Callithrix jacchus: one gene and its partners. The protein of the gene in region 1 binds, or shares a complex with, the protein of each later gene. Links are inferred from orthologs where the notes say so. Each region holds a gene or a part of one and is shown on either strand. Other genes may lie near its edges.

Region 1 (4,291 bases):
CCGTGTTGCTTTTCTCCTCCCAAGTGTGATGTAAAACTTTTCACATGTGCAGAAGCACGCTACCATAGCCACGTGCAGAAGCAGCCGTTTTTGCAAATGAAAATATTTCCCAGAAGCATAACAAATACAAGACTAACAGGTGTCGGGCAGATCCAAGGCACACATGTGGTTCTCATCAGCCGTCTTCCTCCTGTTTTAAATCTAGGTCTTCCTGTAACCGCGGGAAAAAAAAAGATTTTTCCCGAGGCCGCCGAGCTTGCCTTTCCACCCCGTCTCACAAAGCATTTCCAACAGAGCTCCCAGAGAGAGGGGAGCAATTACAGAAGGCAGTAAATAGGGTGGAGGTAGGAAGGGCCCCCTTAAACTTGACATCTGCTGTTCTGGGCTTAACCCCGAAGTCTGGGTGACCTTGAGCCTCAGTTTCCTCTTGTGTGACATGTTTGGTTCCGAGAATGAGGGTCTCAGTTTTACAGCATCTCCAAGCAGAGGTGGGTGGAAGGGTCTTTCAATCACGGGGTTCTCCGCCGGTGAGGGGGGGCGGGGAGACTGTGGCCCCCAGGGAACGGCGGCAATGACTGCAGACTGGGGGAGGGGGCGATCGGGTGGCCAGAGATGCCGCTCTACTTCCGACAGATCGGAGAGCCCGCCCCGACGACAGAGGGATCCCGCCCAAATACCAGTGGTGCCGAAGTGGAGAAGCCGCGGTAGAGATGCAGGTTTGCAACCTCCGGCTTTCCGGCGTTCCCAGCTAGTGGGGCGGCTCCTGCCAGAAGCGCTTTGCTGCTTCACGTTTCCGCGATGGGGGTCGCACGTGGCTATGCAGACCCCCCCCCGCCCCGCCACACCCACTCCCACACCCTCTGAGGGGCGGAGGTGGCCGCGGCGACATCCCCGAGCCCCTCCGATGACCCTTCGGGACGCAGAATCACAACGTGAACGTCTGGTTCCCTCGCCCCCTCAAAAAACTCGACAGCTGCTAAGCCTGCAACTCCCGTACCCCAGTCACGCGCCAGGAAGGGTCTCCCCAAGAAAGGATTCTCCCATCGCCCTCCCCGCCCTGAGGTAGCCGCCGCGAGCGTCAGGGTTCAAGGACTCTTCGCGCGCGCGCTTCCGTCGGAAAGCCCCGCCCCGTGACCCGGGCTGGGGCGGGGCCTCCAGGCAGTGACCGTTGCCCCGCCCAACCTCCTCCCAACGGCTGCCTTGGCTGGGCGGTGGGGCGGGGCGGCACGGGCGGGCGAATGCGCCTGCGTGCGCATGCGCGCTGGTGAGGGGCGTGGACCACGGGCTGCCCCGCCCAGGTTTGGCGTCTCCTCCAGCCCCATCTCCCAACCTCCTCAGCGTGGCGCCGACGCTGCGTGCGGCGCTGACTACCCAGAGTACTCCGCGCGGGGGCAGCTCACTGGAGTTTGGTTCTCGAGGCGGCGGCAGCGAGCGGCGGCGGCTCCGGCAGCTCCTCCTCCTCCTTCGGTGGCGGCGGCGGCCCGGGACCGAGACCCGGCCCCGGCTCCCCTCTCCGCCACCCCGCGCGCCCCCAACTCCCCCGGCGCCGCGGGGAACATGCGGCTCCGGCTCCCGGAGGCCGGCGAGTGAGTGACCCCCGTCCCCCGCCTCAGCCCGCCCGCCCGCTGGCCCGGCCGCAACCCCCCGCCTCGCCCAGGCAATGACAGCGGCTCCGGCGTCTCCGCAGCAGATCAGGGACCGGCTGCTGCAGGCCATCGACCCCCAGAGCAACGTAAGTACCGGCCGCGCGAGCTGGGACGGAGGCCGCATGGGCCCGGGACCCTCCCCCTCTCCTGTCCCTTTCGCCCAAAGGGCTTCAGGGGACCCGTCTGGCGCCCACCTCCCTTCAAGGGCCGCTGCCATCCCTGCCTTTCGCTCCTCGGGCCCGTGCCGGGGGCAAGTTGGGCAGCCCGGCAACGCTCTGTACGTGAGGCCGAGGCTTCCGTGCGGCCTGGGCGGAGGAAGCAGACAGGAGACTGAGGCTAGAGCTTTTCCCCCCTTTCTACTCCAGCTCTACGACCCTGACTGCTCTGGACGAAGCCCCCCTGCCTCGCCCTCCCTCCGGGACCCGAGACCCCCGGGAAGCCCTCCTGGAGCGGGGGAGGGGAGGGAGAAGGTCTGTGAAGCAACTGGTGTCCGGGGTATGACTCGGGGAACCTGTGTCTCTCATTTCTCGGCCTTCTGGGCGATCAGGGAAGTCCTTGTTCCCTCTCCTCCCGGCCGGCAGCACCTACCCGGCTTCGCACAGAACCCCCAGTCTGTTTTGCCCCTGGCGGGGTAACCAGGGTACGTGGAGAGTCTGTCTCTGTTCTGTGACTGGACACGCCTTTGCCAAAAACCCTCCTGGGGTCGCTGCCGACGACAGATGATCGCGGGGAGGGTGGGATCCTTCCTGTTGCCTTTCTGGGCCTAAGTACTCATTGCGTCTCTGACCAAGCCAGAGCTCCATTTTTTGGCTAGTGAATTAAAGAGGACTGTTTCCTCTCCGTTTACCCAAAACCCGTGTTTCAGTCAGCTCTTTCCCTCACGTGGGGAGTCTCGGCTCGGTGGTTTGTGACCCAGACTGTCAGGGTTAACTCTAGGGTGTCGCTTCCTCAGGTGCCCCTTTGCTGGGGCTACTGTTTTTAGAGGGACCACCCCCTCCCCCCTCCGTGTGTGTGTGTGTGTGTGTGTGTGTTGGGGGGGTGGGAAGACTGATCTATTCTCATATTTTCTCTAAGTGTTTCTTGGCAGTAGGGGTCATTCTTCTGGCGGCAGGAGCAGGGCGGTGGGAAGATGTGGTAGCATCCAGGTATGAAGTAAGGGCCTGGGAGACCAGGAAGTGGCCATTGAGATCACTTTTTAATATGCTGTGAATGGAAGAAAAAAATCATCTTTGGCTTGGCCAGGTAACTCAGGTTTCTCTTCCCATGGGGGTTTTTGCTTTTATTTTTACATGAGCTTGGCTGATTACTCTTAGCAGTATGCTTAACTCTGATGATGTTTTTGGAATAATTCACATTGGCTTAAACAATTTTGGGTAAAGACTGAAGGGTTATGAGTTTTTTCTAAGGCTCTGGTTGCTGTGACATAAGTACCGCTCTTATCCCTGGTAATCAGGTCCCATTAAAATTGATTGTAATTGTGTTTAACAAATTTTGTGTTATACATTTTTGTCATGACTTTGGGGGTGGAGTGGACACAAGCTATATAAAACCTTCTAGAATGTCCTTTTTGCAGTAACTGGTGCCACTGCAATTTTAAAGACTGAAATATTAGAGGATAAAACAGGTGACATGAAAAAAATAGCATTGGTGACTTGTGCATCTTTTGTGGAGTCAGAAGGTAATTTTTTTTTAATCTCACGTGCTCGCTTCCCTTCGGGAGAGTCGGAGAGGTTGCTGAGATATTAGCATTGATCCTTAATGCCACCTCAGAGAGCTTTGGGATCAGGCAGTGTTGTAGATTAGGCCACCCCAGTGACCTCAGGGGTTCCACTGTTGTGTAAGGCTCTAATCTAGAGGGTTCCTTGAGGCAGAAGAGAGAAAGGAGGAGGGAAGGCACCTTCATTTTGTATGTCTTAGCATATGCAGAAATGTTATGTAGGTAGGTCCCTGGTTATGTTACCTGGTGTGGAATTTACCTGATGATAATGGGCAGAGTCCTACTAACATGGAGTGCATGGATTTGGGAAATTATCTCTTTGACTATGAGCAGTGAGGAAAGTGCCTCCTTTGTGAGTGACCCTCTGGGCGCTGTTATGGGCCATTTGACAGGACCATTCGATAGGACCATTCGGTTTGAGCAAACACCATGCAGAAACCCAGAGCCGCAGTGGACAGGGTTGCTGGCAGAGGTGGTGGTGAGGGCCAGGCATGTCAGTATGTCTGCAGTTTCTCTCAGATCAGTGTGGGTTCAGGTGAGAGCAGGTGGCTCCAGCACAGGCACTGCTGGCCCGCTGTCTCCTCTCTGGCCTGCGCAATGATGGACTCCACTATTGGATATTTAGTTGACACATATTTAGGATCCTCATGGAAAGAAAAAAAAACGGGGACAGTGTTGAAGAGCCAACACTAAAATTAAACCTCTTCTGAGAGAAGCGGCAGAGAATTGTGTCATGTAATGCTTACCTTTATGCAATTATGGTTAACAAACTTAGCTGTTGCTTGCAAGATCAGTGTCAGGAGCTGACCTAATATCCACAAGTATCTGGAAAGTTGAGGAAGTGACGAAGTCATGTTTACCAACCATACCCTTGACAAAGGAATTCTTAGGAGGAAAACTGTTCCTTTGCTGTAACTTTTAGCCCCTG
Region 2 (4,251 bases), on another chromosome or scaffold:
CCCAAAGTGCTGGAATTACAGGTCTGAGCCACCTGAGCCCGGCCTGATCTTTTTTCTCCAGGCTCTCCTTTCCCAAACTTTTCTCGACATTGCAATCAGAGTTCCTTTAAAGCTCACATCTATTCTTTTTTTTTTTAAATTGAGACGGAGTCTCGCTGTGTCACCCAGGCTGGAGTACAGTGGCGCGATCTCAGCTCACAGCAACCTCCGCCTCCTGGGTTCAAACAATTCTCCTGCCTCAGCCTCCTATGTAGCTGGGATTATAGGCATGCCCCACCATGCCCAGCTAATTTTTGTATTTTTAGTAGAGACGGGGTTTCACCATGTTGGTCAGGCTGGTCTTGAACTCCTGACCTTGTGATCTGCCCGCTTTGGCCTCCCAAAGTGCTGAGATTACAGGCGTGAGCCACCGTGCCTGGCCACATCTATTCTTTAGTTTGGCATGCAGAGTACTCCTGGATCTAGGCCTACACCTTTTCCACTCGCCTGCTCTGCCTATGGGGGTAGCCATTCTTTATTCCTTTACTTTCTTTTTTTCTTTTTCTTTTTCTTTTTTTTTTTTTTTTTGGATACAGTCTCTCTCTATCATCCAGGCTATAGTGCAAGTGGTGAAATGTAGGTTTGCTGCAACCTCCGCTTCCCGGGTTAAAGTGATTCTCCCACCTCAGCCTCCCCAGTAGCTGAAAGTACAGGCATGCGCCACCATGCCCGGTTTTTTAGTGTATTTTTAGTGGAGACGGGGTTTCACCATGTTGGCTAGGCTGGTCTTGAACTCCTGAACTCAAGTGACCCGCCCACTTTGGCCTCCCTAAGTGCTAGAGTTACAGGCATGAGCCACCATGCCTAACCCCTCAGTTTGTGTGTGTGTGTGTGTGTGTTTTTAATTTAATTTAATTTTATTTTTCTTTTTTCTAGTCAAGTGCAGTAGTGAGAAGGGGGGAAAGAGTAGAACAAGGAGTTCGATCTGTGTAACTGTGAACAATCAATTGAGATAACTCACTACCTTCGGACCAGCCCAGTTTTTGTTTTTTTTTTTAAGTTCATGATAATCTCTGTAAGTCTTAACAGTTCCAAGAGACTTTCTACACAAGTACATCTCCAGGTTGTCAAACCTAAAAATATTTTCCTAGAGGAAGGCCTGTGACATCAAGGCTTCAGGTAGCTCCCGGAGGAATGCTCCAAAGGAGGGCGCCATCTTTCTTACAGCAGCCCGGGATTTCGCGCATGCGTTTTTGGTTGTCTGTCCGCAATGAAGCTCTTTGGCCTTCTCGGCACCCTTACGTTCCGGAACGGCAGTTTCGAGGTTTGTGAGACTTCGGCTTCCGATCGGAGGTGAAAAGAGGAGGAAGTTGGCTGGTTGCTTCCGTCTAAGGGCTTCCGGGGCTCGGTTAACCGGAGGGCTGGAATCTAATCGTCGCTCAAAGGCGCCTAGGTGCGCGGGTGAATATAATTCCCGGCTTCCTGAGAAGAAGCTAGAGCCTCAAGGAGGTGTGTTTCTAGTGTTTAAATGGACACGTGTTCTGGATGCGGCTTAAAGGGACCTATACACCATCATCTTAAAATAACTTTCTCTTGGCTCTCTTTAAAAGGCATTTTCAGGCCAGCCGCAGTGGCTCTCCCGCCTGTAGTCTAGCTACTTGGGAGGTAGATCGGGAGGCTGAGGATCGCTTGAGCCCAGGAGTTCGAGGCTGTAGTGAACTGGGAACTCCCCATTGCACTCCAGCCTGTGCTGCAGATCGAGATCCTGTCTCCAAAAAACAAAAAGGGAGAGGGGAAGGCATTTTTAGAGAGATGGAATGCCTAGATTCTAGTTTGGTCCAAACTCTGCCACCAACTTGCTCTGTGTATCCTTCTGCCCCTCTCCGAGTCTCAGTATCCTCATCTATAAAATTAAGGGCCCTTAAGTCACTTTTCAGTTCCTCTGAATTTTGTTTCCTCTTTATTATGTCATTAGAGCCACATAGCCTCCGAAATTAAAAAATACTGGCCTCGGCTGGACGCGGTGGCTCATGCCTGTAATCCCAGCTCTTTGGGAGGCCGGATCACCTGAGACTCACCTGAGGCCAAGGAGTTCAAGACCAACCTGGCCAACATGGCAAAACCCCATCTCTACTAAAAATACAGAAAAAGCCGGGCGGGCGTGGTGGCACATGCCTGTAATCCCAGCTACTCGGGAGGCTGAGGCAGGAGAATCGCTTGAATCCTGGAGGCGGAGGCTGCAGTGAACAGAGATCACCCCATTGCACTCCAGCCTGGATAACAAGAGTGAAACTCCATCTCAAAAAAAAAAAATTGGCCTTATTTTATAAGGAATACATTGAGTCCCAGGGTGAGGGGTTGTAGGACTTTCTCAAGATTGCACAGGTAACTTGGAAGTTTCAGAACTTGAGACTAGAAGGTTATGGTATAACTCCATGATTAGATCTCCCTTTTATATTTCTGTATTATCAGTTCCTGGAACTGGCCATATAAGGAGATACTCAGACGTTTTTGAATGAATGAATCTTTTGATTTGAAGGCTAGTGCCACAACAGATCTGGTCTTTCTCCACCACTCTGATGTATAAACAAGTGAATTCTTTTTCAGGTATATCTCATGCCTTACCTGACTGGGCATTCTGAGTTGTGTTGTCTTCAACTTAGACACCATGGAGGCACCTCCAGTCACCATGATGCCTGTCACTGGGGGCACCATTAACATGATGGAGTACCTGCTGCAGGGTAAGTGAACCAGGGAACTTGGATTACCTGTTTTCCTCTTCTCTGTTCAGCTTCCGTGAAGATGAGAGACTTAACACAAAAGCAGCCTGCACAGTTTCTGGCAATCAGCTATGTTTTTAATTGTTACTTCATATTATAGTTTTATATGCATTAAACATATTAAATTTGTCATCATAACATATTTAAGTGTACAGTTCAGTAGTGTGAAGTATATTAACATTGTTAAGCAACAGATCTTTAGAACTCGTGTTTATTGTGAATAGCTTGAAAAAATACTTAATAGAACTTTTTTTCCTTTGAGACAGAGTCTCGATCTGTCACCCAGGCTGGAATGCAGTGGCACAATATTGGCTCACTGCAACCTCCACTTCCTGGGTTCCAGGGATTCTTACATCTCAGGCCTCCGAATAGTTGGGATTACAAGTGTGCATCACCATGCCCACCTAATTTTTGTATTTTTTAGTAGAGAGTTGAGGTTTTGTCATGTTGGCCAGACTGGTCTTGAACTCTTGGACTCAAGTGATCAACTTACCTTGGCCTCCCAAAGTGCTGGGATTATAGGCATGAGCCACTGTGCCCAACCTAAAATAGTTTTTCATCCTGTAAAACTGCAACTCTGTATCCATTAAACACTGATTCCCACTCCCCTGTAACTATCCCTTAGCAACTATCTTTCTAGGTCGTGTTTCTCTGATTTTTTTTTTTAGATGGATTCTTCACTCTTTTGCCCAGGCTGACTGCAAACCTCCATCTCCCAGGTTCAAGCAATTCTCCTGCCTCTGCCTCCCAAGTAGCTGGGACTACAGTGTGCACCACCATGCCTGGCTAATTTTTATATTTTTAATAGAGATGGGGTTTCACTGTGTTGGCTAGAATGGTCTCCATCTCTTGACCTTGTGACCCGCATTCCTCGGCCTCCCAAAGTGCTGAGATTCCAGGCATGAGCCACCACGCCCAGCTAACCATTTCATTTTCATCGTAGGGTCTTAGCTCATCTGTCATCCCCTTAGAGAGTCCTCTGACCACTCCAACATCTCAGAGTAGTTTCCTCCCCTTTGTCCCCTCCAGTTCCTCTCCATCTGATTCTCTTTTATTTCCTTGTTTTCATTTACTTGTTTGGTTATGTGGAGACAGAGTCTTGCTCTCTCACCCAGGCTGAAATGTAGTGGTGCAGTCACAGCACACTGCAGCCTCAACCTCCTAGACTCAAGCAATCAATCCCACCGCATCCGCCTCCTCAGTAGCTGGGATTACAGGCCCATGCTACCACGCCCAGCTAATTATTATTTTTTATTTTTAGTAGAGATGAAGTCTCACTATGTTGCCCAGGCTAGTCTCGAACTCCTGAACTCACATGATTCCTCCCACCTCAGCATCCCCAGTGTGCTCGAATTGCAGGCATGAGTCACTGCACTCAGCCTTACTTATTTATTTCTTGTTTCCACTACTAAACTGTAATGTCCACAAGGGCAGAGCCTAGCACAGTGCCCCCAGGACAGCATTTAGTAAGCATACATTGAATGAACCAACA
Region 3 (4,381 bases), on another chromosome or scaffold:
GGCAAAATATCCGTTTGTCATCTTTGTGCTTATGTGTGTAACGCCAGACTTTAAGTTTGGAACATTGGTTAGTAATCAGCCATCTACTCTCATTACACTTGCAGCGGCAGAATTGCTACCATGGTGACAAATATTGCTGTTAAAAACATTGTCTTTTATCTGATAGGGGTATTGACTTGATGCCCCAGTTGACATCTCCCTCTGAGGAAGAGACCTGTTGCTTTGAAATACATATTTATGCATCTTTCTCTTGATGAAGTATCAAGATAGAAAAGGAATTGCAGCAAAGTACGTGGCAGAGCATGCTGTGGTGGGCAAGTCCCCGCCTCTACTTTACTTAAGTTGCATTTGTGTACATTGGAGGTCTGCTCAGCTAACACCCTGCATGGTGGATGAACTATGTTCATGCTGTACAGGATGGAGAGAGTGCACCCTCCCCTTCAGACGGGGGAGGGTGCATAAAACAAGACTAGAAGGAAAACAAAAGATAAAGCCATGGTCTACACAATTATGAGATTAAGCCATTTGTAGCTAGGATAATTCAGACTCTGGCATAGCTGTAAGTCTGGAACTCCAGACCAAAGGCTTTGACAGGAGTTCCGCTTTATCTCTCTCCTCTACCCCACCTGCCAACCTGTCACACTCCTGTGTGGCTTTCCCAAAGGCCCTCTCAGACTTCTGAGTGTGTGCCTCTCTCTCTCCATCTAACTGTATCCACTGTTTCAAGAGTCGACTCCCAGAACATCTTAATCTCAGGTTCTATGGTCTTTATTGAAAGCCACAAGGTGAGATTTTCCAGCCGCCCACCAGAGCAACTGAGAAGGGATTCCCCTGATACTGACAGGCCACTACTCCTCCCAGAATACCTTGCTTCTCACCTCCTCCATCTGCACTACACATATTTGGTCTTCAGAGAAAGTCCCTAAGTTTTGCCAGAAACTCAACTTCTGTCCTCCAAGGTACTGCTGCAGAGAATGAGCAAAGACTCAAAAGGCTGAGCAGTTGCTCCCCTCCTGGACTTACATGAACACACATGGCTCCCAGAATCATTTTTCTCAAATTGAATTTTTATTATCTGATGTTAATACTGTAATGTTTTTCATGGATTCATTTTACAGGTTTTTTTTTTTTTAATGGAAAGACAATTTTTTTTACAATAAAACTTTTTAAAATTTACAATCCCGTTTCTAGGGATTAACTTCCACATGAACACATAATTTACATCATGTTAGTACACAGCATTTTGGACTATTTTATTTCTTAATACATTTAAACATTTTCCATGTTTCTATATTCTGAATATTTTTATGTTACTTAGAATTTTTGTTTCGTACCTATTGAAAGATGTCTTTCAGAGTTAGATTTTTTTTGTCATAAATCTCTCTTGTGTGGGTGTAAAAAGGAAAACATTGGTGAAATAAATTGGATAGGGCGTTTCTAAGGCAGTGACATACAATTGACACTTTGCTGGAAGTGATTTAAAAACAATCCTGATTTCAGAGATGTTAAAATAAAGACACAATAACAAACCTCCATGAATACACCCTCTTGTTTAAGAAATGGAATAATCATGATTCTGTTGAAGCTGTTTGTGTGTGCCTCCCAGATCAGACATCTCTCCCTTTACCCTTTCTCTTCTTTCCTTTTTTTATCCATATCCTGAATTTTGTGATTATCATTTCCTTGTTTTTCTCTATACTTTAAGCAAATATATATCCCATAGTTGAATCTTATTTTTGAACTGTTCTACAAATTGAACTATATCATATATATTTTTGTGACTTGCTTTTAGTATCCCATATTATGTGAGATTTATCCATGCTAGCTGGGCACAGTAGCTCATGCCTGTAATCCCAGCACTTTGGGAGGCCAAGGAGGGTGGACTGCTTGAGGTCAGGAATTTGAGACCAGCCTGGTCAACATGGCAAAACCCTGTCTCTACTAAAAATACACAAAATTAGTTGGGCATGGTGGCACATGCCTGTAATCCCAGCTACTTGGAAGCTGAGGCACTAGAATTGCTGGACCCTGGGTGGCCAAGATTACTGTGAATCAAGATCACCTCACTGCACTTCAGCCTGGGTGACAAACTGAGACTCTATCTCAAAAAAAAAAAACAAAAAAAATGTATCCTTTCTAATAGCCGCTATTCATTTACACTGTTGTAGATTATGCACTGTAGTTTATTTCATAGCTTATTAATTCTCCTGTTTGATGAACACTTGAGGATTTCCAGGGTTTTGCTATTACAATTTGTTTTACTATAAACATTCTCCTAGTTGTCTACTGGCAAGCATATGTGAGAATTTCTCCACTGTCTACACCTAGGAGGAAGACTTGTTAAGACTAGATCAAGAGTCAGCACATTTTCTGTGAAGGCCCAGATAATATTTTAGACTCTGCAGGCCATATGGTCTCCATTGCAACTACTCATATCTGTCATTTTAGCGTGAAAGCAGCCATAGACAATATGCAAAGGAATGGCTGTGGCTATGTTCCAGTAAAATTTTATTTACAAATCCAAGCAGCTGGCAAGATTTGGACCTCAGAATATGGTTTGCCAATTCCTGATCTAGATGCATAGATTTCCTATTCTAATTGCCTACAAATGCTGCTGCACTGCTCCTTCCTCCCCTGAATACCCTCTGAGGGGATGTGAATCCTGTCTCTGCCTAGTCTATGGACTGGACTGAATGTCCATGTTCAGGAGCATTCAGGGAAGAGAATGGGCATGGGGACGTGGTGGTGGTGCATCCAGCTCTTAATCTGTGACTTTGACAGTCTAGGGGAAGCAAAGGCAGAAAGGGGTTGAGGCAAAGCAAAACACTCACATTGGCTCTGCTGGGCCTGGGTGGGTGGTAGGGCTCTACCTGCCTGGAGGCTGGGGTCTCAGGCTGTAATGTGGTCACCATCACAGAAGCCACTGTGAAGTCACTGCCAGGCTATGGGGCAGAAAAAATTCAAACAGGAGATTTTATTTATTTAGGGGTTGTATGATTTCCTTTATTATTTAAACTGCAGTAAAGAAAGCTGGGATGGGCTCTCTAGGGATACTTCCCAGATCCCTGGGAGTTGTAGCCCTGGCTCCTATTTAAATGGATTTGGTTTCAAAGATGGTCATCTCCATCATCTTGGATGTCACAGTGCCACTGATCACCTCCAGCTCCTGGGCTTTCTCCACTTTGGCCTCTATGTTTTGCTTCTCCGCCATCTTAGCCACGATGTCTACCTCTCTGTCGTGTGATGTGACCCTTGTTTTTGAACCAGCAGTAGCCCTGAGGCTCCTTAAAAAAGACATGATTTTACTGGGTTTCTTACTTAAAGCTCCTGTACTAGATGTGGATCGGTTCTTCCCCAGTTTGTGAGTTGTTCTCGACTCCTTTTTGGTGGAACTGTGGCTGGAGCTCTTGCGAGAGGAGCCACGTCCCTTGCCCCTTACCTTGCTGCGCCCTTGTTCTTTTTTGTCATCTCTCGTGTTTTTATGGCCGGATATAGACCGGTGGGAGGATGCTTTCTGGGTCTCGTCTCCTGCTGTCCTGCGGTGACTTTCACCTGCCTTGCGGTGATGGGAACTTTTCCTACTGGGACGTTTGTCCTTCTTTTTTCTTCTTTCCTTTTTTTCATTCCAGGCTTCAGCACTGGGCTGGGAAAGCTTCTGGCTTCCATTCCGTTCACTCATGTAGCCTTCGCTTTGCAAGGTGGACACGAGGGGTCCCAATGCTGGTCCTTGAGTTCTTTCTGCCACACACTTGCCTGTCGTCATACTGCCTGCAAATGCCATACTCAAGCTGCTGTCTTGGGAGAGATGGGCGGCCCCCGCCATCGTGGTGGAAGAAGTACCTGCCAAGGAGGTGCTTGCAACACCCACCAAGGCCAAGTTCATACTATCTGAGGATATGTTGGCAGCACCTGCCATGGACTTGCTGGATTCATTTTCTCCCGGATTTTTGATGGCTGCTCCCGCCAGCGCTGTGGTCACCTGGCCTGGGCCTGCAGGTTTGCTTGCTGCTATGCTCACAGCGCCTGTTGCAGGACTCATTGCTGTGCCTGCTATTGCCACACCTGCTCTGGGGCCTGTTGTTCCTGCCATGCCACCTGCTGTCCTTGCTGCTGCTCCTTCAGCAGCCATTCCATGGGAGGCATGTTGGATTCCTTCTCCCCCAGCATAAGCAGAAGAGGTGACTGCAGATACATCACAAGACTTGTGAAGCCCAGTCTCACTCTGATCCCCTTTTCTGTGGAGCTCTGCAGCCTGTACCAAGGGGAGGAGAAACAGGTGAGATAGAGATGACTGAAAGAGAGTTCAGAACTGTGTGCTGCTCTCTTATCCTGGAGTGGAACAATTCAAGGCTTTATGATTAGAAGAACCTGGATCGAATGT
Region 4 (3,602 bases), on another chromosome or scaffold:
CAGAGAAATACAAATTAAAACCACAATGAGATATCACCTCATGCCTGTTATAATGGCTGTTATCAAAAAGAGGAAAGCTGTGTTGGTAAGAATGTAGAGAAATGGGAATCTTTGTTCACTGTTGGGAGAAAAGTAAATGTTGTACAGCCATCATGGAAAACAGTATGGAGATTCTTCAGAAAATAGAACTGCATATGATCTAGCAGTCCTGCTACTGGACATATATCAAGAGAATGTGAAGTCAGTATGTTAATACTGGTATCTGCATTTCCATGTTCATTGCAGTATTATTCTTAGTAGCCAAGATACGAAATCAACCTAAGTGTCCCATCAGTGGGTGACTAGATTTTAAAAATGTGGTATATATACACCAGTGAAATACTGTTTGGCCTTAAAAAGAGAAGGGAATTCTGCTATTTGTGATAACGTGGATGAAGCTGGAGGACATTATGCTACATGAAATAAGCCAGGCACAGAAAGATAAATACTGTATGATCTCACTTTCATGTGGAATCTAAAAAAATTGGACTCATGGAAGTAGAAAGTAAAGTGGTGATTACCAGAGACTAGGAGTTGGGGTATTGGGGAGATGGCCAAAGTGGACAAAATTTCATTGGGAGGAATAAGTTCAAGAGATCTATTGTAAATTCTGGTTACTACAATTAATAATACTTTGTATATTTGATAATTGAGAGTAGAATTTAAGTGTTTTCACAGAAAAATAAGTACCTGTATATGAGATAATGAATATGTTAAGTAGCTTGATTGAGCCATTTTATAATACATACATTAAAAAAAAACCTCAGAAACAAATTGGGTTATTTGGCCTCCTTATCCTAGGGTATTCCCTGGGATATAGGAAACATGTAAGCCACTTCTTGTGCCTGCGGTACAGCTTTCTCAAAATGTGAAACATATACTACATTCTGGAGTATCCCTGAGATGGAGCTTCAAAATTTTGGTTTTTAATAAGTATCCTAGATGGATTTTTACTTAAAATTTCAAAGCTGCAGCTCTAGTGGATCTTTAGAACTGACACACAGAGGCACTGGGAAAGTGACTTTTCTCTTTCTGAAAACGAGGATTATCTCAAGTCAGTTGACAGAATGATTTGGACAGTTATGTATCAAATTGTTTTTCTTGTGCAGGAATATATTGGGAGTTTAATTTTCATTGGAATTGGGATTATGTATTTGTTCCCCTAAAATGGGGCGGGAGGGAAGGAAAATAAAATTGTAGTACAGTAACTAAGAGGTAATATTTATCTAGTACTTAAGCACCTAGCAATGGGCAAAGCATATTAACCTATATTCTATTACATTTAATTCAGTTCTTGGTATTGAGGCACAGAGAGGTTAAGTAAGTTGTCGAGGGTCATACTGTTAGTAGTGGAGCTGGGATTCAAATTAAAGTCTGGCCCAAGAGTTACCTCTTAATCATTGTTCTGTTCTTCCTTTACATTTCAGAAAGAGAAAAATACAGGCTGGGTGAGGTGGCTCACACCTGTAATCCCAGCACTTTGGGAAGCAGAGGCAGGCAGATTGCTTGAGCCCAGGAGCTCAAGACCCGTTTGGGCAACATGGCAGAACCCCAACTCGAGAAAAAAAAATTAACTGGTTATGGTGTCTCATGCCTAGTCTCATCTACTGGGGAGTCTGAGATGGGAGGATTGCTTGAGCCCGAGAGGTCAAGGCTGCGGTGAGGTGTGATTGTGCCACTGCATTCCAGCCTGGTGGTAACAGAGTGAGACACCATCTCAAAAAAAACTACAAATATGTGTGTGTATTTAATTCACTTTTCCTAAATAGAATTTATATTTTTATTTAATATATTAATTATTCATGTAGAGTACTTAGCTATTTTATGGATTACTTGACCTTCTAGTGAGCTTCCTGGAAAAGGTATAAACCCCTTATACCTTTATAACATTTTTTCTATTAAAAACACTTTCTAGATTTTAAATAATAAATTACAGTTTCTTGTTGCATAGTACCCTATGAACTTAAAGTTACATGTCTAATTTAAACAGAATAATACTTATTTGATCAGTAGTAGCAGTTTTATTTTTCTGATTGACTTTTGTAGATGCTCCACGCCCTACTAGTCATGCCCGTCCTCCATCAACAAGTTTGATTTATGACTCAGACCTGGCTGTCTCTTATACTGATCTTGATAATCTCTTCAATTCTGATGAAGATGAACTAACAGTGAGTATCTCATTAATAAATAGGAATATATTGATTTTATGTACATATTTTTTATTCTTTAGAAGTGATTTATGAGTTTAATACTATGATTTAGCCCTGAACAATGAGAAATATTTCATAGTAAAGTCTCATTGGTTTCTTTTTTAATCTCATGTTTGAGTAGTCTTGCCATAGTGTCACCTATAAACTTTGAGATTTTTGTTTCTCCTTTTGTTTTTACATTTGGGAAACACATGATTAACCTTAATTTGAGCTCTGCTGTATGTTCTATTTTGCAGTTTTAGGAAGCAGAATTATTTTCCTATTTGATTCTGTAGTTTGAGAAATGACCCTGGAATTTACTCATTCAGAGAACACATAAATAATTGACATTAAAGTTATTTGCTTTGTCAATTTATTAAGGAATACCAGTTCTTTTGAATTTGTTTGACATCACAGCTATTATTATAAGACAGATACATGATATAGCAATGAAAGAGGAAGAAAAAGTAATATTTGATCTTTAACACCCATTTGCAGAGAAAGGTGAAGATAAAAGAAATTAAAGCTTAAAATGAGATTCCCTAGAATGTCAAGTCTCTGGCAAATTAATGAATTGGGTGCTGCATTATCATAAAAGGGAATTCCTTTTCATCTGCATAAAGGTAGCTTGGAAACTTCTATGGTACATTTGGTCTTTCTTTTCCTATATAATATGCATTTATTCCTCTCAGCATATATATCTATATATGTATATGTATGTATATGTGTGTGTATATGTGTATATGTACACATATACACACACATATACATACATATACATATATATATATCAGATACATAAACTTTTACTATATATCCCATAGTGTAGTACATTTTAGAACACCCTTCACTAGGCAAATATATCCTTGAATGTTTTGACACATTCATACTATCTACTACCATTCATGTATCAGCTGTGGTTCCTCTAAGATAAAAAGGTTGTAGTCAGAATGTGGTCTGCATAGTAATATTTATCACAAACTGTCTAACAGAAGACATGGAACAAATGTTAGCTCTGAAAACATTGGTAATAGCTTGGAAATAGTAAAGCTTGTTTGTTCAATGTACTAAAAGTTAGGAAAACTATTGCTTTGTCATTAGATCTTCTGAAGTTTGTACTTAGTTTTACCTGTTACAGTATTTTTATAGGAGTAAGGAGATTATTAAAACAAGGTAAAAGTATAAATAAGAGTTCAGAGAAGTGGGTGATTGAATATATAGGAAAAACACAAACCTTAATGTATTCAACTTAAGGAGACAAATGCTTTGCAAGTATCTTTTACTAAGAAGCATTTCTAATGTTAATTACAACTCCTTCTTATTGCAGGTTTTCTTATTTTTATTTATTTTATTTTATTTTGAGACAAGAGTCTC
Region 5 (3,602 bases), on another chromosome or scaffold:
GGCTCACACCTGTAATCTTAGCACTTCGGGATTCATAGATGGACAGACCACTTGAGGCCAGGGGATACAAGACCAGCCCGGCCAACATAGTAAAACCCCTCTCTACTAAAGATACAAAAATTAGCTGGGCATGGTGAGGCACAAGAGTCACTTGAACCCGGGAGGTAGAGGTTGCAGTGAGCCAAGATCGTACCACTGCAGTCCAGCCTGGGCAACAGAATATCTGTCTCAAAACAACAAAAAAAGTGGTAGTATTAACAAGTTTCATAGGCATCTAATATTTTCTTTTTATATTTATTATAAAGATAATATGAAAGGCATTAAAAATATTTAGAAGATAGAGGGAAAATACTTACTCAACTTCCTTAATGCATGAATAATATTTTGCTGTGGGGCAATTTCTATTTTGTTGTTGTCGTTTATGCACTCCTATTTATTTCTTAACACATTTACAAATCCTTGTATTAGACCACTGTGGCTCATATAGAGCATGCACATGTTTTTTCCTTTGTTAAAAATTAATATAATTATGATTTAACCACATGGAAGTTACTGTTCAATGTTAATATTATAATGATCCCAGAAGATACATTTAAAATATCATTATTTTCCCTTTAGTTATCCAGGCATTAGGTGAACATCTTAAATTAAGACAACAAGTTATTGCCACTGCTACAGTATATTTCAAGAGATTCTATGCCAGGTAGGATTATTTTTATTTTATTTATTTGAACTCTTATCTAATATGGATGAACCTTAGCACAGTGTAAATGAATCATGTGTCTGCCATAGAGTTATCTTGATTTTTTTTTCCCAGTGTGCTTTCTATATGAATGATAATTAACTTTGCTTTATCATATTTTAGGTATTCTCTGAAAAGTATAGATCCTGTATTAATGGCTCCTACATGTGTGTTTTTGGCATCCAAAGTAGAGGTATAAAATGATTTTTTGTTCTTCATCAAAGTGTAGTTAATGTATGTTGGTTAATCTGCCCCAGTTTTCACATTGCCTATATACAATTAATGGTAATTTATGCAAAATACTAAAATTGTACAAAGTCAAAGAAATATATACATATCCTTATATATTCACTTAACAGACATATACAGCACTTACTGTGTACCAACTGACTTAATCTTCGTAACAAACTGGAATACATAGTAGTAGTATTCCCATTTTATAAATGAGGAAACTGAGACAGAGAGAGATGAAGAACTTGCTTAAGATTATACAGCTGGTAAGTGTCAGAGCCCGTGTTTGAACCATGGGAGTCTCATTACCAATCCTGTGTTCTTAACTACTTTCCTTTGCTGCCTTTGAGACATTTCTTGTTTGGCACTAAGTATTATTCAGTAAGTACCCATAGCTTGCCTGCCATAACCTGAGAATGTCCCTCTTCCTTCTCACCCATGTCCTTATCTTCTCCTATCTTCCCTCCTATCATTCTGATGATTGGCTGCCTACCAAGCCACAAGGAAGGCAAGGATTAGGGGACGCTATAGCTGTATAGATTCTAACAAGTAAAAGTTTGGGTTGTGAGAGTAGAGAAATTAGGTAAGGGAGAGAAGATAGATAGGAACTTGCAGCAGAGACTGAATTTCTGTTCAGTTTCTTTTGCCTTTGTCACATTTTTGAAACAGCTCAGCTAAAATCCAGAAAATAAAAGCAGATATTGACTGTTTTCCATAAATAATTAATGTAGTTTTTGTGGTGTAAAATCTTTGCATTATATTTCTATTTTTGGATAATGTCTTAGAGTGGTAGTTTTATTCTTGGATATTGAATGTGATTTTTACCTAGTAAGTTTACATTCCTTTTGGTACCCACTTTGATTTAGTTTTGTTTTTGCCATGATTTAAGATTATCCATGACATCTTCCCCAATGTTTACCTAAATAATGACAGTTGCCTCTGTTAGAAATAATATTAAGACAAGCTTTCTAGAAGATTATGTTTTCTAATTGTGAGTGGTAGTTAAGGCAGAACCAGCTTTGTTTTTGTTAAGTTCTTTAATGGAAAAGAAAGTATTTATTAAAGGTTTTTATTATGGATTGATTTTTCTAATTCTAATAATTCTACTGTGTAATATTTGATTTTACTTAAGTATTACCGTGTAATAATTTTAAGTGTCTTTTTTTTTTTTTTTTTTTTTTTTTTTTTTTTTATTGGATTATAGGTTTTGGGGTACATGAGCAGAGCATGCAAGACAGTTGCGTAGGTACACACATGGCAGTGTGCTTTGCTTTTCTTCTCCCCTTCACCCACATTTGGCATTTCTCCCCAGGCTATCCCTCCCCACCTCCCCCTCCCACTGGCCCTCCCCTTTTCCCCCCAATAGACCCCAGTGTTTAGTACTCCCCTTTCTGTGTCCATGTGTTCTCATTTTTCATTACCCACCTATGAGTGAGAATATGCGGTGTTTCATTTTCTGTTCTTGTGTCAGTTTGCTGAGGATGATGTTTTCCAGATTCATCCATGTCCCTACAAACGACACGAACTCATCATTTCTGATTGCTGCATAATATTCCATGGTGTATATGTGCCACATTTTTCCAATCCAGTCTATTATCAATGGGCATTTGGGTTGATTCCAGGTCTTTGCTATTGTAAACAGTGCTGCAATGAACATTCGTGTACATGTGTCCTTATAGTAGAACGATTTATAGTCTTTTGGATATATACCCAGTAATGGGATTGCTGGGTCAAATGGAATTTCTATTTCTAAGGCCTTGAGGAATCGCCACACTGTCTTCCACAATGGTTGAACTAATTTACACTCCCACCAACAGTGTAAAAGTGTTCCTTTTTCTCCACATCCTCTCCAGCATCTGTTGTCTCCAGATTTTTTAATGATCGCCATTCTAACTGGCGTGAGATGGTATCTCAGTGTGGTTTTGATTTGCATCTCTCTGATGACCAGTGACGATGAGCATTTTTTCATATGATTGTTGGCCTCATATATGTCTTCTTTCGTAAAGTATCTGTTCATATCCTTTGCCCACTTTTGAATGGGCTTGTTTGTTTTTTTCCTGTAAATCTGCTTGAGTTGTTTGTAAATTCTGGATATCAGCCCTTTGTCAGATGGGTAGACTGCGAAAATTTTTTCCCATTCTGTTGGTTGCCGATCCACTCTAGTGACTGTTTCTTTTGCCGTGCAGAAGCTGTGGAGTTTGATTAGGTCCCATTTGTCTATTTTGGCTTTTGTTGCCAATGCTCTTGGTGTTTTGTTCATGAAGTCCTTGCCTACTCCTATGTCCTGGATAGTTTTGCCTAGATTTCCTTCTAGGGTTTTTATGGTGCCAGGTCTTATGTTTAAGTCTTTAATCCATCTGGAGTTAATTTTAGTGTAAGGTGTCAGGAAGGGGTCCAGTTTCTGCTTTCTGCACATGGCTAGCCAGTTTTCCCAACACCATTTGTTAAACAGGGAATCCTTGCCCCATTGCTTGTTTTTGTCAGGTTTATCAAAGATTGTATAGTTGTATGTATGTTGTGTTGCCTCCGGTGCCTCTGTTTTGTTCCATTGGTCTATATCTCTGTTTTGGTACCAGTACCATGCTGTTTTGATTACTGTAGCCTTGTAGTAGAGTTTGAAATCCGGTAG
Region 6 (4,341 bases), about 28 Mb from region 1:
GGCCAGGCACGATAGCTCATGCCTGTAATCCCAGTGCTTTTGAGAGGCCAAGGCAGGTGGATCACCTGAGGTCACGAGTTCAAGACCAGCCTGGCCAACAAGGTAAAACCCCGTCCCTACTAAAAATACAAAAAATTAGGCAGGCGTGGTGGCAGGTGCCTGTAATCCCAGCTACTCGGGAGGCTGAGGCAGGAGAATCACTTGAACCCAGGAATCAGAGGTTGTGGTGAGCCAAGACTGTGCCACGGCACTCCAGGCTGGGCAACAGAGCAAGACTCCATCTCAAAAAAAAAAAATTAGCCAGGTGTACTGGCACGTGTCTATAGTCCCTGCTACTCCAGCTACTCAGGAAGTTGAGGCGTGAGTATCACTTGAGCTTGAGCCCAGGAGGTCGAGGCTGCAGTGAGTCGTGACTGAGCCACTGGACTCCAGCCTGGGTGACAGAGTGAGACCCTTCCTCAAAAACAGAAGAGCCCTGGGGGCTTCCTCTTTGCGCTCTCTATTGGCTCACTCAATCTGAGGAATGGCTGTAGCCATGTTACAACAGTCAAGCTCCGTGCAGAGGTCTCGCGGTCAACAGCCACCGTCAGCCACCCTGGGAGGGGCCTCCCCACCACCAGTCAAACCCTTGGATGGCTGCAACCCTGCCGACCTCTTGACACCCTCAAGAGGTGCCTTGTGACACCCTCAGCCGAACCATTCAGCTAAGTCACTCTTGTGTCCCTGACTCAGAAACTGCGTTAGATAATGGACGCTTGCAGTATGAAGCTGTTAGGTTTGGCGGTGACCTGTATGCAGCTAAGAGTAAGTACTAAAACACAAGTACTACCCGCATCCTGCTTCAGAGGCGAGAGGCTAGGCACAGTGGGGACAGGGCTCCTGGGTCTGAGAGTTAGTTCGGTGCTGGAAGAGCCAGGATTTGACCCCAGGCTGCCTGACTCCAGAGTCTGCAACATCAACTATCAAAATCTGATCCGATGCCAGGCATGGTGGCTCCCGCCTGTAATCCCAGCACTTTGGGAGGCTGAGGCAGGCAGATCACGTGAGGTCAGAAGCTTCAGACCAGCCTGGCCAACAGGACGAAACCCTGTCTCTACCAAAAGTAAAATTAAAAAAAAAAGTAGGTGTGCATAGTGATGGGTGCCTGTAATCCCAGCTATTTGGGAGGCTGAGGCAGGAGAATTTCTTGAACCTGGGAGGTACAGGTTGCAGTGAGCTGAGACTGGGCCACCACACTCCAGCCTAGGTGACAGAGCAAGACTCTGTCTCAAAAAAAAAAAAAAAAAACAATCCGACCCAAGCCACAGAGGGATGTATCCTGGCTCTGACCCATCCCTCTGCACTGAGGCTACAATGTACCCATCTGGAAGAGGAGAACAAGGGCAGATGGAAAAAGAGAGGACAGAAAGGGGACAATCACACATTCAGTACAAGGTGGCTGCTGGAGCTCAGTCAGGCCTCCCTGAACGGGAAGTTTTTCATGCTTCTAAACCGGATGGCAACATTGCTGAGCACACAGAACCCACCACAGAAGTGACTCTTGACAAAAACACAATGACCCTCACAGCCCTTTCAATCGCCTAATGTAAAGGGATGGTTCTTGAAGCTTAAACCCAAACCACCTCTCATTCACAGTCCCTCACAGGGTCCCCCAACCCAGCCCAAGTGGAGAAAAAGCTCACTTAATGCCATCCAGCCAGGTGACAAACTCATAGGCGCTGCTGGTGGGAGCGTGACACTGTACGTAGGACTCAGGAGCGCAGTCCACCGTGTTGAACACCACGAGGCTGTACTGGGTCCCCCCATACTGGGAGGTGGGGACAGAGGAACTTTTAATCTGGGACCTCAATTCCCTTTTCCCTCAGAGAAGGAATCAGGGCTCCCAGCTTCCTGTTCTTCCAGAATCAGGAACTCCTCAGCTTCCTCCTTCCTCAGACCCAGAAGTCCAGGCCCAGCCCCTCCTCCCTCACATACAGGGGTCAAGTCCCAGCCCCTCCGCCTTCAGACCCAAGAATCCAAACCCCCAGTCCCTCCTCCCTCAGATCCAGAAATACAGGTCCCCAGCCACTCCTCTCTCAAATTCCGGAGTCCAGGCCCAGCTCCTCCCCACTCAGACCCAGGAGTCCAGACCCCCCGACCTCCTCCTCCCTCAGACCCCGAAGTCCAGACCCCAACCTCCTCCTCCCTTAGACCAGGAGTCCAGGCCCCCAGCCCCTCCTCACTCGGACTCGGGAGTCTGGACCGCAGCACCTCCACCCTCAGACCCAGGGGTACCGGCCCAAGTGCTTCTACCCTCAGACCCAAAAGTCCAGGCCCCTAGCCCCTCCTCCCTCAGACCCAGGAGTCCAGACCCTGACCTCCTCCTCCCTCAGACCCGGGAGTCCAGGCCCCCAGTACCTCCTCCCTCACACCCGGGAGTCCAGACCCCGACCTCCTCCCTCAGACCCGGGAATCCAGGCCCCCAGCCCCTCCTCCCTCACACCCGGGAATCCAGGCCCCCAGCCCCTCCTCCCTCAGACCCAGGAGTCCCAAGACTCACGTCACCCCCGAAGTCCGTCTCAGCAGGAGGACCACCATTAAAATACCTGTGAGGGTCGGAGGTGAAAGGTCGGAGTCAGGCCAGAAGCTGTGGGAAACTCTAGTGGGAGGGCGGGGTTCGAGTCGCGGAAACGGCACTCACTCGATGGCCGGGAGCAGGTAGTGCTTGCGGAGCCCTTCGAAGTAGGGTCCCAGGTTGGCCGTACCCTCAATCACAAACACCACGTCGGCCACGAGGCCCCCGGCGCGGGCCGGGCCCTCGGACCCGGGGACCATACCCCGCGCGGAGGCCGCCACCGCCACTGCCGCCGCAGCCGACACCGCGGAATGAGGGGAAATGCGCCTGCGCTGCGCGCGCACCCGCGCCGGGCGGTTGAGGGCTGCTGGGAACGCACGGGCGGCCATATTTGTGCGGGGCACAGGTTGAGGCTTCGATCTAGCTCCATCCTCCTTCGCCCTAACCCGTGGAAGACTCAGCAAGGACATAGTTAGCCCTTTTGGGGGGCCTGATGGGTTAGACAAAATCATTGTCAGGATTGTCAAGAACGAAATAAGTTGAAGGCGGCACAGTCGGCTGCCATCTTTGAGCGGGGCGTCTGGGCCCGCCTATTAGCTCAATGGGAGGGGCAGGAGACCTGGTTGCTATGCAACACTAACGCTGCCCTTGTTTTCGTTTTCCTTTATCCTTTCCCCCCCCCCCCCCCCCCACGAGACGGACTCTCACTCTGTCGCCCACCCTGGAGGGGAACGGCGCGATCTCGGCTTACTACAAGCTCCGCCTCAGCCTCAGCCTCCCCAGGAGCTGGGATTACAGATGCCCACCACCATGCCCCGCTAATTTTTGTATTTTTCGTAGAGACGGAGTTTCACCATGTTGACCAGGCTGTCTCGAACTCCTGACCTCAAGTGATTCGCCAGCCTTGGATTCCTAAAGTGCTGGGATTACAGGCGTGAGCCACTGCGCCCGGCCCGCTGCCCTTGTTTTCTAACCATGAGATTAAGTTTCTGGTTCTGTTCTTTCGTGCGCGGGGACTGGGGGGAGGGACGCGAGAAGGGTCCAATCGCAATGGCGGAAACGAGGTTACTAGGCAACGCTTTAAGGTTGCCCTTAACTTGGAAGGGAGGATAGTAGTTTTCCTCCTGAAAAGAAGCTGAACACGAACCCAAGTGCAAGGGTTACTAAGCAACACCTGAGCGTTGTTTTCCGGGCGAGGAGCCAGAAACTAGCCTAGAACATAAATACATTCCAGGTGGATTAAGAACATAAGTGCAACAAATAAAACACGAAAATAGCTGAAGGAAAAAAATCCTAATGACTGCCATGAAGTTTCTCAGCAAAGTCAGAATACGTAAAATATTAATTTGTCCGCAAAAGATTGCATAAAGCAAGTTGAAACATATACCACGAACTGGAAAAATCTAGCGTGTTTGTTGACAGAAATGTACTACACAAATCTTACCGATGAATAACAGTATAGAAAAATAGAAACACTTCATTGTTTTTTTTTAAATTTTATTTTTTGAGACAGGGTCTCTGTTGTGCAGGCTGGAGTGCAGTGGCCATTGCAATCTTGGCTCATTGCAGCCTCTATTTCTCACACTGAAGCCACTGTCCTGCCTCTGCAGCAGCTAGGACCACAGCCACGCACCACCACTCCTGACTAATTTTTAATTTTTTTGTAGAGGTGGGGTCTCGCTATGTTGCCCTGGCCTGTTTCAAACTCTTGGGTTGAAGCGATACTCCCGCCTTGGCCTCCCAAAGAGCTGGGATTACAGGCGTGAGCCATGGTGTCCTGCTACTTT
Region 7 (4,294 bases), on another chromosome or scaffold:
ACCAAAAGCAAGGCTCAGCCAGTCCTGGTCTCTTCCCTGGCTCCCTCTTTTGTGACCCATAGCAAGGGCACCTGATGGGACAAAAGGGAAAATTAAATGGTCACTTTCTCTTACCAGGGTAATTATTTGCTAATTTCCCAATCTCTCACCTGCCTCAGCCTCCCAAGTAGCCAGGACTGAAGGTGCAGTGCACGCCACCACACCCAGATCATTTGTGAGTTTTTTTTTTTTAAGATGGGGGGGGGTCTCATTATGTTGCCCAGGCTGGTCTTGAACTCCTGACCTGAAGAGATCCTACCACCTCAGCCTCCCAAAGTACTGGTAATGTGAGCCACCTTGCCCAGTCTGCTCTCCAACTTTCTTTCCTCCATTTCCACCACTCTTCTTGATTGGGAAATCCCTCAGAGGGAGAAACATCTGAGCTTTGAGTTCTCTTAGCTGGTGGAGCCTCAGTTTCCTCTGCTGTCTTTCCAGAGCACCCCCAGTAAGTTCAGCTCTATCTGCAGAGTCTAGAGGTATATGCTGGACGTGCCATCACTTGCTGACCTAGGCCCAGGAGGTCAAGGCTGACCTAGAGGAGGGGAATTACTGAGGCCAGGCCACAGAGCTTGTTCCAGGGTGGCTGGTAGAGGGGACTGTCTCCTGTTTCCCCAAACTGCTAGAGATGTGTAAGCCTTCTGGGCAGGGGTAGAAGATGCTATGTGGGGTCTTAGCTGCCAGACTTTGAAAAAAAAACCTCTTCAGAAAGATATCTGGTTACCTTGTTTCCTAGAGGTCGTATCCTCAAGAAATCTTGGGGTGCTTCCTAGCAATAGTCTGGAAGGAAGGGAGGGGCCTGGGCATGGCTGTTCTGATGGGAGCCCAGAGAACAGGCTGTTTCTGCTACCTCCTTGGCAACGGAAATCTCAGCTGCAGGGGCCATCAGACATATCCCCTTGGAGAGTCTATCCATCCTTATTCATGCCACCCCTACCCTTCTGATAGATTCGGGGAATGCGCTGAAGCAGAGATGGAGAATGGGAGGGGACAGCCCTGATGGGGGGTTTCATGACAAGGACAGAGCCGGAGCCGAGGATGAACTGAATCTAAGAAGAGCTAGCAGCTTCAAGAAATGGGTGGGCAGGGTGAGTGGGCTGGGAAGACAGAGGATGCAATACAGGGACAGGGGTTCTAAGCCCAGACCTGGGCTGGATCCTGGCACCTGGGCAGAGGCCTGCTTTGAAGGCAGTGTGCCCTTCACTTTGTCCTGCCCAGATCTGTCACCAGTACATAATGGGAGCCCAGGAAAGAGAGAGAGGTAAAGAGAAGATAGGGGTGGCCGGCATGGTGGCTCGCGCCTGTAATCCCAGCACTTTAGGAGGCCAAGGCAGGAGGATCACTTGAGGCCAGGAGTTCAAGACCAGCCTGGCCAACATGGTGAAATACCTTCTCTACCAAAAAATAAAAAAATAAAAACCAATTAGCTGGGTATGCTAACACATGCCTACAATCCTAGCTACTTGGGAGGGTGGGAAATGAAAATCCCTTGAACTCAGGAGGCGGAGGTTGCAGTGAGCCAAGACTGTGCCACTGCACCCAAGCCTGGGCAAAAGAGGAAGACTCTGTCTCTAATAATAATAATAATAATAAATTTTTTAAAGGAGAAGATGGGGGCTGGGCATGGTGGCTCACACTTGTAATCCCAGCACTTTGGGAGACCAAGGCGGATGGATAACCTGAGGTCAGTAGTTCGAGACCAGCCCCCAACATGGAGAAACCCTGTCTCTACTAAAAAAAAATACAGAATTAGCTGGCATGGTGGCACATGCCTGTAGTCCCAGCTACAGGGATGCTGAGGCGGGAGAATTGCCCTAACCCGGGAGGCGAAGGTTGCAGTGAACCAAGATCACAGCATTGCACTCCAGCCTGGGCAACAAGAGAAAAACTCCATTTCAAAAAAAAAAAAAAAAAGGAGTGGGGGAGAAGATGGAAATGGTAAACCCTTGTCTTTGAGTGCCCTACTCTGCCCTTCAGGAAAAAAAAAGGGAATCAGAAGGCACATCATTTTATATGGCTTTGGATCTAGGATTTCAGAAAGTCTTCCCCACACAATATTATAGGGCCTTGCATCAAAGAGAGATATGGTGGGGAAAGCCAGGATGGAAGGGAGACAAAACCACAGCACCTTCCTCCTCCGCCTCTGGACTCCATCACTCCAGCCCCAATCCACATGACTGCTGGCCCTCCCCACTGCCTCCTAGTTCTGTCTTTGTGACGCAGAGTATAAATGTATCTCATGCATCAGGATTCCCTCCCAGCTCCTTAAGCAGCCCAATCCCAACGGACTAGTTCCACACAGGGTAGAGCACAGACCCCAAGCACTATACACTGTAGCCGTGCACCCCAGGGTTTCGGCCAAACCTCATCACCGAGGAGGTGGCACCCACCGGCAGGCAGCCACCCTCAGTGCACCTCATTCTGCTCACTGCACTGACTCTGCACGCTGCAGCCTCCTGCCCCACACTGCAGCTGTTGCTTGTCTCCCGTGAGCCCAGACTGAACACAGGTTCGCTTACCGCGTGGAGACTCTGCACGCTGCTGCCTCAACTCCCCCTTCTAGCTGCCACTGCACCTCACAGGCTCCCTTCACCTATGGCATGCCCTCAACACCACCGCTGCACTCTGTATGCCATAGATTTCATCCCAGCTGCTTTTCTCATCTCCATGGTTCCAGGGACCCCCAGAGAGGTACCCTCCCCTCCGCCAAGCATTACAAACTCCAGTATCCCCTGTGAAAGAAGTGGCTCCAACAGCACTGAGGATGCAGGAGGCTGAGACTGAGACATGAGCAAGGGCAGCCCAGCTTGGATAAGCTGTGGGTCAGGATCCCACACTCGGCAAGTGATTCTATCCAGTATAACCTGGGCCAGGAGCTGAGCAGCTCCCCCTGACACACACGCTCACACACAAACACACACCCCTCTCCAAGAGCAGACTGTGTAGCAGGGCCCCACCCTGAGAGCCGTGGGAAGGCTGTGGCCCCCACTGGTAAAACTGGGCTAATGACAGCAGGGGAACCGGCGGGGCCAGGGGCGTGCTGGGGTAATTAGGGCTTGGCCTGGAACTGGGAGATCCCGAGATGAAAGGGGCTCTGGCGTCACTGGGTTGGTTTTATGTCCATGAATTGCAGATGCGTGTGTGTGTGTGTTGTGTGTGTGTGTATGTGTGCTGGGGGTGGGGCTGGCACAGTGGAAACCTCTCCTTTGGGTTGGGTTAGGGGGTCCATTTGTATGCAGCCCACCGGCTTCCTTAGATTGACTCTGGTACCATTTGGATTTTGGTGGGAACAAACACGGGGGGAAATACCACCACCCAGGAGCTAGGAATTGAGGGGGTAAGGCAAATCTTGTCCCCTCCCCGAGCTGAGGAGAGGGAGCAGATTGTTGGGGAAATGGCTGGTGACAGAGAATAGAAAGAGCCTATATGGAGAAGGGTGATGTTGGAAAGGGGAGGCAGTGGATCGGTATCGATGTTAGAAATGAGAGGGGAGGGAGGTACTGAGCCCACACAAGGATTAAAAACACAGGATGATTGAAGTTAAAAGGACGTCAGGGGTGATCTGCCCAGCCTTCGCGGCTGAAGCTTGAGGAAGCTCTGCCCCGACAGCAGTGGTGATTTGTCAAGGTCACACAGTGAGTTACTGGCGGAGAAGGGACCCGAACTCCTAAACAAACTCTACACCTGCAAGCGTTTGGTGTTTAGGCTTTCTCCTCATGTGTAAGGTGCAGGCGGCTCCTCGGTACTTCCTCCCCCACCCCATGGTGCAAACCCGAAAACCCCCAATTCTCCCGGCAAGCAAAGGCTATTTTTTAATGACATCTCTTCCAAAATATGTCACCAAGTACCCACTCCTGCGGGAGCCGCCCGGCGGGGGAGGGCGAGTCCGAGCGGGGCGGGGCAGGGGCGGCCGAGGGGCTGCCGGGCCGCTGGCGGGGGTCCCGGGGCGCGGCAGGGGGCGGGGGGCGGGGGCGGGCGGTGGCGAGGCGGCCTGCAGGGAGCAGCCGCGAGCCGGCCGGGCGCGCGGAGCCCGAGCCCCAGCCGGAGCGGGGCGGGGGAGGGAGGAGCCAGAGCGGCCGCCGCCTCTGCCGGAGGAGCCGCGGGGCCGCCACACTCGCCCCCCGTCCCCCCCCGCGTTCACTCGCACTCACACCCGGGCGCAGGAGGCGGGCGGCCCGGGCCCCACCGGCCCCCCATGGACGCCCACGGCACTGGGCGCTGAGACCCCCGCGTCGCTGCCCAGCCCGGTCCAGCGCGC

The links.
Region 2: MED26 (region 1) and MED18 share a complex: the UniProt entries of both Homo sapiens proteins name them as parts of the mediator complex. The link is inferred for Callithrix jacchus from reciprocal best matches to the Homo sapiens genes MED26 and MED18.
Region 3: MED26 (region 1) and MED7 share a complex: the UniProt entries of both Homo sapiens proteins name them as parts of the mediator complex. The link is inferred for Callithrix jacchus from reciprocal best matches to the Homo sapiens genes MED26 and MED7.
Region 4: MED26 (region 1) and MED13 share a complex: the UniProt entries of both Homo sapiens proteins name them as parts of the mediator complex. The link is inferred for Callithrix jacchus from reciprocal best matches to the Homo sapiens genes MED26 and MED13.
Region 5: MED26 (region 1) and CCNC share a complex: the UniProt entries of both Homo sapiens proteins name them as parts of the mediator complex. The link is inferred for Callithrix jacchus from reciprocal best matches to the Homo sapiens genes MED26 and CCNC.
Region 6: MED26 (region 1) and MED25 share a complex: the UniProt entries of both Homo sapiens proteins name them as parts of the mediator complex. The link is inferred for Callithrix jacchus from reciprocal best matches to the Homo sapiens genes MED26 and MED25.
Region 7: MED26 (region 1) and mediator of RNA polymerase II transcription subunit 24 share a complex: the UniProt entries of both Homo sapiens proteins name them as parts of the mediator complex. The link is inferred for Callithrix jacchus from reciprocal best matches to the Homo sapiens genes MED26 and MED24.

Annotation. Positions count from the first base shown.
Region 1 is NC_133523.1:15,245,055-15,249,345, reverse strand, and holds the start of MED26 (mediator of RNA polymerase II transcription subunit 26), read left to right. Parts: upstream 1-1,398; 5' UTR 1,399-1,660; coding exon 1,661-1,732; intron 1,733-4,291. UniProt on the Homo sapiens protein: Component of the Mediator complex, a coactivator involved in the regulated transcription of nearly all RNA polymerase II-dependent genes.
Region 2 is NC_133508.1:65,000,320-65,004,570, forward strand, and holds the start of MED18 (mediator of RNA polymerase II transcription subunit 18), read left to right. Parts: upstream 1-1,365; 5' UTR 1,366-1,432; exon of another isoform or gene 1,433-1,488; intron 1,489-2,586; 5' UTR 2,587-2,647; coding exon 2,648-2,720; intron 2,721-4,251. UniProt on the Homo sapiens protein: Component of the Mediator complex, a coactivator involved in the regulated transcription of nearly all RNA polymerase II-dependent genes.
Region 3 is NC_133503.1:19,917,945-19,922,325, forward strand, and holds the start of MED7 (mediator of RNA polymerase II transcription subunit 7), read right to left. Parts: upstream 2,877-4,381; 5' UTR 2,832-2,876; intron 1-2,831. Other genes in the region: GARIN3 (Golgi-associated RAB2 interactor protein 3), read right to left, coding at 3,092-4,252. UniProt on the Homo sapiens protein: Component of the Mediator complex, a coactivator involved in the regulated transcription of nearly all RNA polymerase II-dependent genes.
Region 4 is NC_133506.1:94,817,922-94,821,523, forward strand, and holds part of MED13 (mediator of RNA polymerase II transcription subunit 13), read left to right. Parts: intron 1-2,085; coding exon 2,086-2,207; intron 2,208-3,602. UniProt on the Homo sapiens protein: Component of the Mediator complex, a coactivator involved in the regulated transcription of nearly all RNA polymerase II-dependent genes.
Region 5 is NC_133505.1:105,600,907-105,604,508, reverse strand, and holds part of CCNC (cyclin-C), read left to right. Parts: intron 1-618; coding exon 619-703; intron 704-865; coding exon 866-935; intron 936-1,101; exon of another isoform or gene 1,102-1,185; coding exon of another isoform or gene 1,186-1,239; intron 1,240-3,602. UniProt on the Homo sapiens protein: Component of the Mediator complex, a coactivator involved in regulated gene transcription of nearly all RNA polymerase II-dependent genes.
Region 6 is NC_133523.1:43,593,191-43,597,531, reverse strand, and holds the start of MED25 (mediator of RNA polymerase II transcription subunit 25), read right to left. Parts: upstream 2,868-4,341; 5' UTR 2,815-2,867; coding exon 2,681-2,814; exon of another isoform or gene 2,586-2,680; coding exon 2,540-2,585; intron 1,808-2,539; coding exon 1,683-1,807; intron 1-1,682. UniProt on the Homo sapiens protein: Component of the Mediator complex, a coactivator involved in the regulated transcription of nearly all RNA polymerase II-dependent genes.
Region 7 is NC_133506.1:72,262,626-72,266,919, reverse strand, and holds the start of mediator of RNA polymerase II transcription subunit 24, read right to left. Parts: upstream 2,898-4,294; 5' UTR 2,556-2,897; intron 72-2,555; 5' UTR 1-71. Other genes in the region: uncharacterized protein LOC108590274, read left to right, coding at 3,871-4,294. UniProt on the Homo sapiens protein: Component of the Mediator complex, a coactivator involved in the regulated transcription of nearly all RNA polymerase II-dependent genes.